2 linked regions of the Anolis sagrei genome follow. The protein of the gene in region 1 purifies or fractionates together with the protein of each later gene. This does not show direct contact. Links are inferred from orthologs where the notes say so. Each region holds a gene or a part of one and is shown in the gene's direction. Other genes may lie near its edges.

Region 1 (7,601 bases):
TTTGAGTCGCCCTCCTCTGGACACATTCCAGTTTTCCAACATCTCCCTTCAATTGCGGTGCCCAAAATTGGACACAGTGATATTCCAGGTGTGGTCTGACCAAGGCGGAATAGAGCATGGGGAGCATGACTTCCCTGCTCTTTCAGCCGCCCCTCATAGGGCTTGTTCTCCAGACCCATTATCCTTTGGGTCGCCCCCCTCTGGACACATTCCAGCTTGTCAACTTCTCCCTTCAATTGTGGTGCCCAGAACTGGACACAGTGATATTCCAGCTGTGGTCTGACCAAGGCAGAATAGAGGGGGAATGGAACATGACTCCCCCGCTCTTCATCGGGCTTGTTCTATAGACCCTTGATCTGCTCCCTCCTCCCTATGACTTCCTCTCACATACTTATACATGGCCCTCATCATGTCTCCTCTTGGCCTTCTCTTCTGCAGGCGAAACATGCCCAGATCTTTAAGCCACTCCTCATAGGGCTTGTTCTCCAGACCCTCAATTCTTTGAGTCACCCTCCTCTGGACACATTCCAGTTTGCCAACATCTCCCTTCAACTGTGGTGCCCAGAATTGGACACAGTAATATTCCAGGTGTGGTCTGACCAAGGCGGAATAGAGGGGGAACATGACTTCCCTGCTCTTTCAGCCACTCCTCATAGGGTTTGTTCTCCAGACCCTTGATCTGCTCCCTCCTCCCTATGACTTCCTCTAACATAATTATACATGGCTCACATTATGTCTCCTCTCAGCCTTCTCTTCTGCAGGATAAACAGGCCCAGATCTTTAAGCCACTCCTCATAGGGCTGGTTCTCCAGACCCATTATCCTTTGAGTCGCCCTCCTCTGCACAAATTCCAGCTTGCCAACATCTCCCTTCAATTGTGGTACCCAGAATTGGACACAGTGATATTCCAGGTGTGCTCCAGGTATTCCAAGGCGGAATAGAGGGGAAACATGACTTCCCTGCTCTTTCAGCCGCTCCTCATAGGGTTTGTTCTCCAGACCCTTGATCTGCTCCCCCCTCCCTATGACTTCCCCTCACATATTTACACATGGTCCTCATCATGTCTCCTCTCGGCCTTCTCTTCTGCAGGCTAATCTTCCCTTTTTTATCAAGACCACCCAAAGTCTGTTTGCAACCACCGGTGTGCAATATTTATTTGGAAAGTCTGGGCACAGAGTGTTCTCTTGTCCTCCTTCTGCAATTAGGAACATTTCTGAGACCTTTGACTCTTCAGGGAAGAGACAAAACAGACTGTAACACCTCAGTTAAGGATGCCTCCGTATCCTGATCCTTCAAAAAGTCATCTGCGTCCCAACATAGCCAGCGTTTATGCAGAACGGTTGGATAAAATGATGCCAACCCAACACAACCCGACTTGGGTAGGCTTGCAACTTTTCATCCATCTGCTTCTCTTCAGCAGCATTTATTCCTCTGGCTCAGTGGTGGTTTTTCCATTCCTTGGGGTTACTGAGCACCCAGCCCACTTTCCAGACACACCGAGGTCTTTTGCAAACCAAACAGCTGCAATTTTAAATCAGTTTTGGATCAGTGCCTGGTGGTTCCACCACTGTCAACTACAATCCCATAATTTTACCTAGCCAGCTTGCTGGAGGGGTCTGGGTATGGTACTTTGCAAAATAATCTGCCACCCTTTTTTTCTCCCCACAAATCCTAGCAAATGAGTCAAGTTGTTTTGGTTATCTTTTTAATAATCTTTTCTGCTTTTTATTGTGCCAGAAATGAATTAAGAAACTGCAAGTTGCTTCTGGTGTGAGAGAATTGGCCATATAAAGCAACAGATACCTATGTATAAGTTTTACGTTGTTCTGTAATTCAGTGATAATTGATTTAGTGAGAGAATTGGCCATCTGCAGAGAAGTTGCCCAGGGGACGCCTGGATGTATTACCATCCTGTGGGAGGCTTCTCTCATGTCCCTGCATGGGAAGTTGGAGCTGACAGACAGGAGCTCACCCTGCTTCCTGGAATTGAGTAGAGTAGTCTTCCAAGATCGGTGTACTGGCAGTGGGTCCGTAGGTGACTGCGGAGCCCTATTCTTGATTTACATGTTCTCCCGCAGTGAGGACATCGGTTTCCAGGTGGAAGGCACTCTCAGTTGGGGTTGGATTGACGTGCCTTCCTCTTGGCACGTTTCTCTCTTTCGCCCTCCATTCATGTCTCTTCAAATTCTGCAGCACTGCTGGTCACAGCTGACCTCCAGCTGGAGCGCTCAAGGGCCGGGGCTTCCCAGTTTTCAGTGTCTATGCCAGAGTTTTTAAGGTTGGCTTTGAGCCCATCTTTAAATCTCTTTTCCTGCCAACCAACATTCCGTTTCCCGTTCTTGAGTTCGGAGTAGAGCAACTGCTTTGGGAAACGGTGGTCGGGCATCCAGACGTGGCCGGTCCAGCGGAGGACCATTGCTTCGATGTTGGTGGTCTTTGCTTCTTCCAGCACGCTGACATTTGTCCTCTTGTCTTCCCAAGAGATTTGCAGGAGCCAACGCTGATGGAATCATTCCTGGAGTTGCATGTGGCATCTGTAGATAGTACACGTTTTGCAGGCATATGGCAGCGTTGGGAGGACAATAGCTTTACAAACAAGCACTTTGGTCTCCCTACGGATGTCCCAGTCCTCAAACACTCACTGCTTCATTCGGAAAAAAGCTGCACTCACAGAGCTCAGGCAGTGTTGCATTTCAGTGTCAATGTTGATGTCTGTAGACTGTCCACGTTTCGCAGGCATATAGCGGGGTTGGGAGGACAATAGCTTTGTAAACAAGCACCTTGGTATCTCTACGGATGTCCCAGTCCCCAAACATTCTCTGCTTCATTCGGAAGAATGCTGCACTTCCAGAGCTCAGGCAGTGTTGTATTTCTGTAGACAGTCTACAGATAATCAACGTCTTGCAGGCGTATGGCAGAGTTGGGAGGACAACAGCTTTATAAGCAAGCACCTTGGTCTCCCTATGGATGTCCCGGTCCTCAAACACTCTCTGCTTCATTCGGAAAAATGCTGCACTCGCAGAGTTCAGGTGGTGTTGTATTTCAGTGTTAACGTTGACTTTGGTGGAGAGGTGGCTGCCAAGGGAGTGGAAAAGGTCAACATTTTCTAATGTTACACCATTAAGCTGTATTCCTGGCATTGGAGAGGGATTGGCTGTTTCAATATATTGCAATATTTTGGTGCCAAATTTGTAAATACAACAATTACTACCTAACGTTACCATGTAGTACTGTACAGAACTGCTTTTTCTGTCAATTTGTTGTAAAACATGATGCTTTGGAGCTTAATTTGCAAAATCATAACATAATTTGGCATTTAATAGGCTTTTCCTGGATCCCTCCTTATTATCCAAGCTTTTCGCTTATCCAACGTTCTGTCGGCCTGTCTATGTTGGATAAGCGAGACTCTACTATATCGCACTCCTGTGATTTCAATGGTAATTTCAGCTTTTTTGTTACCTAGGTAAAGGTAAAGGTAAAGGTAAAGGTTTTCCCCTGACATGAAGTCCAGTCGTGTCCGACTCTGGGGCATGGCGCTCATCTCCATTTCTAAGCCAAAGAGCCGGCATTGTCCGTAGACACCTCCAAGGTCATGAGGCCGGCATGACTACATGGGGCGCCGTTACCTTCCCGCAGAGGCGGCCCTATGTAATTTTCAACGGTAAACAAACAGTTACCCCCTCTCCCCCCCCCCCCCCCACCAATCACTGATATATATTTTCTGTTTGTCGTGGGAGTTCTGTGTGCCATATTTGTTTCAATTTCATCATTGGTGGAGTTCAGAATGCTCTTGGATTGTAGGTGAACTATACATCCCAGTAACTACAACTCGCATATGTCAAGGTCTATTTTCCCCCAAGAGCGCCTCAAGAGCGCTCCTGGGCAAATCAACTATACTGCAAATGCTTACTTTGCGTAATGGGTTGAGCTGCCCCTGCCTTCCCGCCGGAGCGACACCTATGGATCTACTCCCATTTGCATGTTTTTAAACTGCTAGGTTGGCAGAAGCTGAGGCTGACAGCAGAAGCTCATGCCGCTCCCAGGATTCAAACCTGCGACCTTTCAGTCAACAAGCTCAGCAGCTCAGCGCTTTAACCCACTGCGCCACCGAGGTTACCTGGTTGTCCTAAAAGCACAAGTTTTGACCCTGACAACCTTGGTGTCCTTTAGCCAAGAGTCCTTTTGGCTGCGCCTGACCGCCGGCACACTCTCCTCTTGCTCTCCATCCAGTTCTGGGCTTGGCAGCCTTGCTCTGCTGGAGACCCGGGAGGCCTCTCTGGCAAGATCTCTGCCCCAAGGCCTGCCTCCTCGGCTCATTTGAATATCAGAATGAATTACTGCGAGTATAACAGCTGTGGACACAGAGCTCATGTCAGAGCAGTTGAACTTTCCTCTCCTCCACGACTATTTTGGACCAGCCGTCTTCTGGTTGACCTTTTGCGCTTCGCTCGGAGTGATTATTCCAAAATTCTGCAAACAAACTCTTCCTATTTCTTTCTCTTTTTTCTTTTCCAACATGAGACCCAAGACAGGGCAAGGCAGCTGCAAGAATGGTGAGTTGCAGACACCTGCTTTCCCTTTGCTTTCATTCCATAGACGCTGGAACTACAAAAAGGGGCAGCAGTAGAATCCTAGGCTGGATCTGCACGGCCTTATCATCCAGTTTTAGAAGGTGGATTAACTGCATTGAACTGGTTTCTACATTGCCAATCCAATGCACTTGATCCACATTCTGAAACTGGATTATAGGGCAGTGTACATCCAGCCATAGACTTTAAATAGGGCAGTCATATATGCCATCAAAAATTAAATGTGCATATTGTTATTATTATTATGTTTAGTTATATCCCACTTTTTAAATTATTATGATTATTATTATTATGTTTATTTATATCCCACTTTTTCTCTCCAACTGGATTATAGGGCAGTGTACATCCAGCCATAGACATTAAATAGGGTAGTCATGTATATGCCATCAATAATTAATTTTGCATATTATTATTATTATTATGTTTATTTATATCCCGCTTTTTCTCTCCAACTGGATTATAGGGCAGTGTACAACCAGCCATAGACTTTAAATAGGGCAGTCATATATAGGCCATCAAAAATTTAATTTGCATATTATTATTATTATTATGTTTAGTTATATCCCACTTTTAAAATTATTATTATTATTATTATTATTAATGTGTTTATTTATATTCCACTTTTTCTCTCCAACTGGATTATAGGGCAGTGTACATCCAGCCATAGACTTTAAATAGGGCAGTCATATATATGCCATCAAAAGTTAAATTTGCATATTATTATTATTATAATTAGCCACCCCATGCCACGCGTTGCTGTGGCCCAGTCGAGTGATCTGGAAAATAAAGTAATCCTTGTGGGTAAACAGTATTTTGAATAAGATAGTCATGTATATGCCATCAAAAATTAAATTTACTTCTTCTTCTTCTTTTTCTTCTTCTTATTATTATGTTTATTTATATCCCACTTTTTTCTCTCCAACTGGATTATAGGGCAGTGTACATCCAGCCATAGACTTTAAATAGGGCAGTCATATATAGGCCATCAAAAATTTAATTTGCATATTATTATTATTATTATTATTATTATGTTTAGTTATATCCCACTTTTAAAATTATTATTATTATTATTATTATTATTATGTTTATTATGTTTATTTATATCCCACTTTTTCTCTCCAACTGGATTACAGGGCAGTGTACATCCAGCCATAGACTTTAAATAGGGCAGTCATATATATGCCATCAAAAATTAAATTTGCATATTATTATTATTATTATTATTATTAGCCATCCTTTGCCACGCGTTGCTGTGGCCCAGTCGAGTGATCTGGAAAATAAAGTAATGCTTGTGGGTAAACAGTATTTTGAATAAGATAGTCATGTATATGCCATCAAATATTAAATTTACTTCTTCTTCTTCTTTTTCTTCTTATTATTATTATGTTTATTTATATCCCACTTTTTTCTCTCCAACTGGATTACAGGGCAGTGTACATCCAGCCATAGACTTTAAATAGGGCAGTCATATATATGCCATCAAAAATTAAATTTGCATATTATTATTATTATTATTATTATTATTATGATGTTTATTTATATCCCACTTTTTCTCTCCAACTGGATTATAGGGCAGTGTACATCCAGCCATAGACTTTAAATAGGGTAGTCATATATATATGCCATCAAAAATTAAATTTGCATATTATTATTATTATTAGCCACCCCCTGCCATGCGTTGCTGTGGCCCAGTCTAGTCATCTGGAAAATAAAGTAATGCTTGTGGGTAAATAGTATTTTGAATAAGATAGTCCTGTATATGTCATCAAAAATTAAATTTGCATATTATTATTATTATTATTATTATTATGTTTATTTATATCCCACTTTTTCTCTCCAACTGGATTATAGGGCAGTGTACATCCAGCCATAGACTTTAAATAGGGTAGTCATGTATATGCCATCAAATATTAAATTTGCATATTATTATTATTATTATTATTATTAGCCATCCCATGCCACATGTTGCTGTGGCCCAGTCTAGTGATCTGGAAAATAAAGTAATGCTTGTGGGTAAACAGTATTTCTTGCTGTTTCTTTGCCAGTGTTGATGTGGAGATTGTCTGGTTTGCCCACCCTGGAACATGCAACATATAATTGTCCTTCTTTAGGGGTCCCTTTCAAATCTAGGATACTACATCTGTGTGTGTGTGTGAATCATATCTATCTATCTATATCTATGGCTGGATGGCTCTTTGTCAGGAGGGCACTGATTACATTTTCTTGCCCTGATGAAGAGAGTTAGACTGGATGGCCTTAAGTATTGTCTGTTGGTCATGAGGGTTCTATGTGGGAAATTTTCCCCAATTCTGTCGTTTGTGGGATTCAGAATGCTCTTTGATTGTAGGTGAACTATACATCCCAATAACTACAAATCCCAAATGTCAAAGTCTATTTCCCCCAAACTCCATCTGCGTTCATATTTGGGCATATAGAATATCCGTGCCAAGTTTGGTCCAGATCCATCATTGTTTGAGTCCACAGTGATCTCTGGATGTAGGTAAGCTACAACTCCCAAATTCAAGGTCAATGCCCACCAAACCCTTCTAGTGTTTTCTAGTGTCATGGGAGTCCTGTATGCCACGTTTGGTTCAATGCCATAATTGGTGGAGTTCAGAATGCTCTTTGATTGTAGGTGAACTATACATCCCACCAACTACAACTCCCAAATGTCAAGGTCTATTTTTCCCAAACCACACCAGTGTTCACATTGGGGCATACTGAGTATTCATGCCAAGTTTGGTCCAGATACTTCATTGTTTGAGTCCACAGTGCTCTCTGGATGAAGGTGAACTACAACTCCAAAACTCAAGGTCAATGCCCACCAAACCCTGTCTGTTGGTTGTGGGAGTTTTGTGTGCCAAGTTTGGTTAAATTCCATCATTGACATAGTTCAGAATGCTCTTTGATTGTAGGTGAACTATAAATCCCAGCAACTACAACTCCCAAATGTCAAGGTCTATTTTCCCCAAACTCCACATTGGGAGTTCTGTGTGCCAAGTTTGGTTCAAT
Region 2 (7,868 bases), on another chromosome or scaffold:
TCTGAACTGGACCCTTTATAAAAAAATCTATTAGGAACAACATGTAATGTTTACAGTGGCCTCTGCAGAAATGTTTCAGCTACTGTCCACTAAAAGGAAAATCTGTCTTTTGAGCAAGCTTTCCTAATGCTGAGTCATTATCAGTAAATGTTTGATTTAAATACCTATTTTATATACCTATATACCTGAGGTCATGTAAAAAAATTATCAGGTGGAAAGAGGTTGCAAGCAGAAAAACATTTTAAGATGCACAGGTTTATTGCACATTATTGATTTAACACGCCAACTGCTTTTTCAGTTTCTAAAAATGGAATAGGATAAAACTATTTGCAATGGGCTAAAGGCTGAGTATTCCTTATCCATAATTCAAAATGCTCCAAAGCCAACAATTTTGAAACGACAAGATATACGTATCTCTGCTGTATTTGCAAAGCTAGAGATGGACAAGGCTGGAGAAAGACACAAGAAATCGTGAAATATCAGGAATCCACATCTCCTGCTATAGATCTTTTCATCTCTCCCCATCTGAACAAGTGAACATGTGTGCTGTACCTTCCATCTCAAAAGTAGAATAATAATAATAATAATAATAATAATAATAATAACTACCAAAGGCCACCTTACTTGGATCTGCATGCATCATTCACAAATACACCACACAGTCCTAGATGCTTGGGAAGTGTTCAACTTGTGATTTTGTGATATGTGACATACTGTGTTTTTGTGTAAGTAAAATAATATTAACACTTTATTTATATTCCGACAGATTACAGTATGTAAATAAACACAAGCAAACATTAAATGCCTTGTTACAGTGAAGTACAATACAACGACATTCAAATACATAGGCAAAGGCAAAAGCTTCTCCTTTCATTTTTGGCTCTTGGAGGCAGTACTCATCTCCTGCTCTGGGGGAGGTGCTCATTTCCATTCCCAACCCAAGGAGCCTGCGTTATCCATAGACACCTCCTGGTTGTGTGCTTGGAATGACTACATGGGGCATCTTTTTGCCTTTTCCCACTGAGGCAGTATCCATTGATCTACTCACATTTGCATGTTTTCGAATTGCTAGGTTGACAGGAGGTAGGACTAACACAGCAGGAGCTCACCCCACCTCACAAATTTGAACTACCGACCTTCAAGTCAGGAGTTCAGCAGAACAAAGGCGCCACTCGCGGCCCCTTTGGAAGTGGGTATCTTGCACCCCTGACACAGCCAAGGTTGGCTACGATTACTAGGTTTTTATCCACAGAAGACTGGAGTGGGAAACACACTGATTGAGATGTGTGGAAGGAATGGGGAGAAGAAAATTGGGCTGGGTTTTATTTGCATGGGGTCCCCTCTGGGTCAAGGCTGGAGAAAATCTCCAGCCGTTGCTACTGCCGCATCCCACTCTACATCTACGTCAGCTTGGGAATGGCTGTGGATGAACACCAGCAGGAGCCACTGTGGCTATTTGTGCAAAGTTTGGCTGCAAACTCAACTTACTGTACGTCATCTCCACTCCTCCTGCTCCTCTTCTTTCTCTGGGAGTGGAAAGCGTACGAAGAATGGGCTCATGGTGGCTGGAGATTACCACCACTTCTACTGTCAACCTATGTCATTTTTTATACAGGCACCTATACTGTATGTGAACACTTCTGGTCCCAACTATTTCGGATAAGGGATACCAAAATTATATTCGGTGCAGAAGGGAATAGAAATTAGCAATTTGCTGTTTTAGCTTTCACCAAGCTGATGGGTTTGTAGGCAGTAGGCCCACTTTTGGAGACAGTAAATTAGTGATGGAAGCTGTGGGAGTAGCTCATCCCTGATTTTCTGCACTTCTCTCATCTCAGTAATTGTATATTTGGACTATGTTATCACTACTGATAACACAGCTAAGCATCGTGCCAAAAATGCCAAGAATGAGTATCAAGTTCTATTTCAATACTGCTAAAACTTTCACTTGAATATATTATGCAGATTTCACAAATATGAATGCATTTGAATGCTCTTTTGAATGCACAAATCTGCCAGGCAGGAAAAGAAACAAGTATTTGTTGATAGGGATTAGCACTTCTTATGTACTCTTTGGAGTGCCTTGGACCGCGAGAAGAAACCAGTCCATACTCCTGGAAATAAAGCCCGACTGCTCAATGGAGGGAAGAATATTAGAGGCAAAGATGAAGTACTTTGGGCACATCACAAGAAGACAGGAAAGTTTGGAGAAGACAATGGAAAATGGAAGGAAAAAGGAAGAGCGGTTGACCAAGGGCAAGATGGATGGTTGGATGGGCCAGAGGTTTAGCACAGCTGGAAAATCACCAGCAACTGTAAGATCTATCAACCGAAAGGTTGCAAGTTCAAAGCCCTGGGTTGGCGTGAGCAGCCGACTGTCAGCCCTGCTCACTGATTACCTAAGAAGTTCAAAAACAGCTTTAGCTGTAATTAGAGAAATTAGGTACCGCTAAAAGTGGGGGAGGTGTTTTACAACTCCATAAAGAAAGATCAGGTAATGTTGGCCACCCAAAAGGAAGGAGGAGGAAGTCCAAATGGCTCTTTGTCATAGAGGATGCCGCAACAACACCCTCTGTGGCTGGACTCAAGCCCAACCTTCCATGGCATCAAAACAACACAACTTCTTTCTGTTCTGTCTGTCTATATACTGTCTATACAAAGCGGCATTGAATGTTTGCCTTGTATGTGTACTGTGATCTGCCCTGAGTCCCCTTTGGGGTGAGAAGGGTGGAATATAAATATATTATTATTATTATTATTATTATTATTATTATTGCAACCTTGAAGTCACTGGCTTGACCTTGAAGGAGCTGGGGGTGGCCACGGCCAACAGGGAGCTCTGGCGTGGGCTGGTCTATGAGGTCACGAAGAGTTGGAAGTGACTGAATGAAGAAACAACAAAAAGTGTACCACACATCACCTCTGGGAGTCCACCTTGACCTTGGTGCTCTTGCTGCTCCTCCTCAATGGCCAGAGATCTCTGTGTGAGCACCTGGCCATCACTTGTCCTATCTGTTGTTGCACAGAAGCTGGGTTGTCCAAGAGATCACCAAGAGTTGGATTATACATATTATATATTTATTCTAAATATTATAGATTTATATTTTTTGAAAATTTTATAGTCTATTTATATTTTAATCATTTAATATTTATATATATACTTTTTTGGAGCCCCCGGTGGCGCAGTGGGTTAAACCTTTGAGCTATTGAACTTGCCGATCGTAAAGGTTGCCAGTTTGAATCTGGGGAGTGGGGTGAGCTCCCGCTGTTAGCCCCACCTTCTGCCAACCTAGCAATTCGAAAACATGCAAATGTGAGATCAATAGGTACCGCTTCTGCGGGAAGCTAACGGCGCTCCATGAGGTCATGCCAGCCACATGGCCTTGGAGGTATCTACGGACAATGCCAGCTTTTTGGCTTAGAAATGGAGATGAGCACCAACCACCAGAGTCGGACATGACTGGACTTAATGTCAGGAGAAAACTTTTACCTATATACTTTTTTAAAATACTGGAAGAGTTTTGTAAACATTTGCAATGGCTGTTTCTGCAAGAGGGGCTTCAGCCCCCCCCCCCCCAAATTCTCATGGTGGTTCGCGAAAAGGCCTTACTGGTGCATTATTTAAACTGTTGTTTATTCATATCATGATCTGATCACCATACTCAATATATCCCATATGCATGGGGGTATTGGGGTAATGATACAAAAGGTTTGCTAAGCTAGACCCTCTTTCACTCAGACTCAGCCCCCCCGAAAAAAATTAGCCCCCCTCCACCCGAAACGAAATCCTGGCTACGGGCCTGCCTCCAAGGTCACGTTTCCAGCATGAGCCGGCGTTATCTGTAGACGCCTCCAAGTTCATGAAGCCAGCATGTGCTGGCATTGTCTGTAGACACCTCCACGTTCATGCGGCCAGCATGAGCCAGCGTTGTCTGTAGACGCCTCCAAGGTCATGCGGCCAGCATGAGCCGGCGTTGTCTGTAGACGCCTCCAAGGTCATGTGGCCAGCATCAGCCAGCATTGTCTGTAGACACCTCCAAGGTCACGTTTCCAGCATGAGCCGGCGTTATCTGTAGACGCCTCCAAGTTCATGAAGCCAGCATGTGCTGGCATTGTCTGTAGACACCTCCACGTTCATGCGGCCAGCATGAGCCAGAGTTGTCTGTAGACGCCTCCAAGATCATGTGGCCAGCATGACTGCATGAAGCGCCGTTACCTTCCCGCAGAAGTGGTACCTATTGATCTACTCACATTTACATGTTTTCGAACTGCTAGGTTGGCAGAAGCTGAGGCTAACAATGGGAGCTCACCCCGTCCACGGATTCGAACCTGCAACCTTTCCGTTAACAAGTTTAGCGGCTCAGTGGTTTAACCCACTGCGCCACCGGGGCCTCCGTACAGATTAATAATACAGAGTCAAAGTGCGGTGCTAATGAGAGTCCCAGTCCGCCCTCTCCTCCCATCCCTTCCTGGAAACTGCAACCCTGAAAGGCGAGCGCAGCAGCAGCAGCAGCATCAGCCATTGAGGGCGAGCCATCCCTGCTGGGAGCCCGCCTTTGCCCTCCCGAGGCTCCTCCCCTTCGGGCCCGGCCGAGCGAGCAGCCCTCGCGGAGCGGCTTCGCCTCCTCTCCTTCCCGGCAGGTAGGCGCTGCTGTGCCCTCTCCTTGGCCGCCATGCCTGGCTGTGGTGCTTCTGCCGCCGCCAGGCTCCTGAGCCGGACTCCTTGGCGCCCTCGCCGGTGAGCCTGCTCCCCCTCCCCCTCTCTCTGGGCGCCGCAGCAGACAGAAGCAGCAAGGCCCTCTCTCTGTGTGTGTTTCTCCTTTGCCCACAAGGCTCCCTTCTGGCAAGAGGCGCCCCCGGCTGAGCGTTAGACAGTTTGAAAGTTGGAGAGCCCTACTTATTATAGGACTGCCAGGCGCAATATGGGTCCCTTATTATAAGGGATATCAGGCATTTCAGGGTTAGGCCCCCTTCTACACTGCCATATGAAATCCAGATTATTTGCTTTGGACTTGATTATAGGGCAGTGAAGGCTCAGATAATCCAGTTCAAAGCAGATAACCTAGATTATATGACAGTGTAGAAAGGGCCTTAGATTGGATCTACACTGCCCTATATGCCAGGTTCTGATCCCAGATTATCTGCTTTGAATTGGATCATATGACAGTGCAGGCTCAGAAAATCCAGTTCAAATCAGATAATCTGGATTAAATGACAGTGTAGAAAGGGTCTTAGACTGGATCTACACAGCACTATGTCCCAGGTTCTTATCCCAGATCATCTGCTTTGAATTGGATTATAGGAGTCCAAACTGCCAGATAATCTAGTATAGAAAATAATCTGGGATCAGATCCTGGGATGTAGGGCAGTGTGGATACAGCCTTAGGGCCCTTCTACACAGCTGTATAAAATCCAGATTATTTTCCTTGAGCTGGATTATATGGCAATGCTGTTTCAGATAATCCAGTTCAAATAAAATAATCTGGATTATATAGAGGTGTAGAACGGGCCTTAGATTGGATCTACACTGCATTATATCCCAGGTTTCGATCCCAGGTTTGAACTGGATTATATGAGTCTACATTGCCAGATAATCTGGAATAAAAAATAACCTGCGACCAGATCTTGGGATGTAGGGCAGTGTAGATCCAGCCTTAGGCCCCTTCCACACATCTGTGTAAAATCCAGATTATCTGCTTTAAACTGGATTATATAACAGTGTCCAGCTCAAAGCAGATAATGTGGGTCATCTGCTTTGATAATCTGGATTATATGGCAGTTTAAAAAGGGCTTTAGACTGGATCTATACTGCCCTATATCCCAGGTTCTGATCCCAAATGATCTGTTTTGAACTGGATTATATGAGTCTATACTGCTACATAATCTGGAATAAGAAGATAATAGGGATCAGATCCTAGGATGAAGGGCAGTGTAGCTCCAGCGTTAGGCCCCTTCAACACAGCTGTATAAAATCCAGATTATTTGCTTTGAGCTGGATTATATGGCAGTGTGGACTCATATAATCCAGTTCAAAGCAGATAATGTGGGTTATCTACTTTGATAATCTGGATCAAATGGTAGTGTAGAAGAAGGGACCTTAGACTGGATCTAACTTCTTTATATCTCATATTCCCATTTCAGATTATCTGCTTTGAACTGGATTATATGAGTCTACTTTGCCATATAATCTGGGATAAGAAGATAATAGGGATCAGATCGTGGGATGTAGGGCAGTGTAGATCCAGTCTAAAGCCCCTTCTAGACTGCCATGTAAATCAGATTATCAAATCAGATAACCCACATTATGAGTTTTGAACTGGATTATATATAAACCTACAATGCCATATAGGCCCGTTCCACACAGCTGTATAAAATCCTCACTGAACTGGGTTACATGGTTAGTTCAATTGAAATCAATATTTTCATTTGGTATTTAGGTAGAACTCAAACCTGTTGGCAGCTAGTACTACCTGATTACCATCTTTGCGTCTCATAAATACAGGGAGTATCCCTTATTGCTGGTTTGAAAATGTGGCAACTTTACTGTCAGGAGAAGCAATAACCAACTTCTGCTTCTCTCCTGTGAAGAGGAGGAGGAAGGAGGACTTATATAAATTATATTTATTTATATACCACTTTTTTCACAGGAACAGAGGTGCAAAGCAGTCCCCAACCTTTGAAAATTATATACACTTTAAAAACCTAAAAATATAACCATTGCAATAGAATTAAATGCTGCAGTTGTTAAAACTATTCCATATAGGACCAGGTGGAAGGCGGTCCCGGTTGAGGTTGACTTGACGCGCCTTCTCTTGGCATGTTTCTCCCTTTCGCCCTCCATTCATGCCTCATCAAATTCTGCAGCACTGCTGGTCACAGCTGACCTCCAGTTAGAATGTTCAAGGGCCAGAGCTTTCCAGTTCTCAGTGTCTATCCCACAGTTTTTAAGGTTGACTTTAAGCCCGTCTTTAAATACTGTAGAATTAATACAGTTTGACACCACTTTAACTGCCATGAATCTGTTATGGAATCATGGGAGTTGTAGTTTGACAAGTTCTTCATCTTCCTCTGCCAAAGAGTTCTGTTGCCTCAACGAACTACGACTGCCATGATTCCATAACATTGAGCCATGGGCATTTAGAATGGTGTCCAACTGCATTCATTCTACAGTGTAGATGCACCTTACTTAATCAAATCAGGAAGTAGTTTTTGCACAAACCTTAAACTACAACATATTATTTTTTAGAAATTCAGCACAGAAGAAAAAAAAAATACCAACATGTGATTTAGATAATGTATGATCGCTGTGGGCATAAACTTTAGGTCTTGTTGAGGTAGAAAATCTTTATCTAAGCAGTTATTTTGACGTTTTTGTGATATGGACTGAAGAAATCTTACAGTATATCATGTAATCAAAACATCCAGGTGTCCCCTGGGCAATGTCCTTGCAGACAACCAATTCTCTCACACCAGAAGCAACTTGCAGTTTCTCAAGTTGCTCCTGAGACAAGAAAAAATTAATAAAAGGAACGGCAAAACTATTCTGTCCATAGTATAGGGCAGGGCTCCTCAAACTTTTTAAACAGAGGGCCAGGTCACAGTCCCTTAAACTGTTGGAGGGCCGGATTATAATTTGAAAAAAAACATGAATGAATTCCTATGCACACTGCACATATCTTATTTGTAGTGCAAAAGCACTTCAAAATAATACAATAATTAAAATGAAGAACAATTTTAACAAATACAAGCTTATTAGTATTTCAGTGGGAAGTGTGGGTCTGCTTTTGGCTAATGAGATAGGATTGTTGTAGTTGTTGTTGTGTGCTTAGGTTGACAGTGAGCGAGGGCCGGGTAAATAACAACAACAA

What was found.
Region 2: the proteins of MAPK6 (region 1) and enoyl-CoA delta isomerase 2-like purify together in Homo sapiens (affinity purification with mass spectrometry; 3 studies listed by BioGRID and IntAct, with this or other methods). This does not show direct contact. The link is inferred for Anolis sagrei from reciprocal best matches to the Homo sapiens genes MAPK6 and ECI2.

Annotation. Positions count from the first base shown.
Region 1 is NC_090029.1:20,628,520-20,636,120, reverse strand, and holds the start of MAPK6 (mitogen-activated protein kinase 6), read left to right. Parts: upstream 1-4,391; 5' UTR 4,392-4,553; intron 4,554-7,601. UniProt on the Homo sapiens protein: Atypical MAPK protein. Phosphorylates microtubule-associated protein 2 (MAP2) and MAPKAPK5.
Region 2 is NC_090024.1:86,836,896-86,844,763, reverse strand, and holds the start of enoyl-CoA delta isomerase 2-like, read left to right. Parts: upstream 1-4,647; 5' UTR 4,648-4,673; coding exon 4,674-4,738; intron 4,739-7,868. UniProt on the Homo sapiens protein: Able to isomerize both 3-cis and 3-trans double bonds into the 2-trans form in a range of enoyl-CoA species. Has a preference for 3-trans substrates.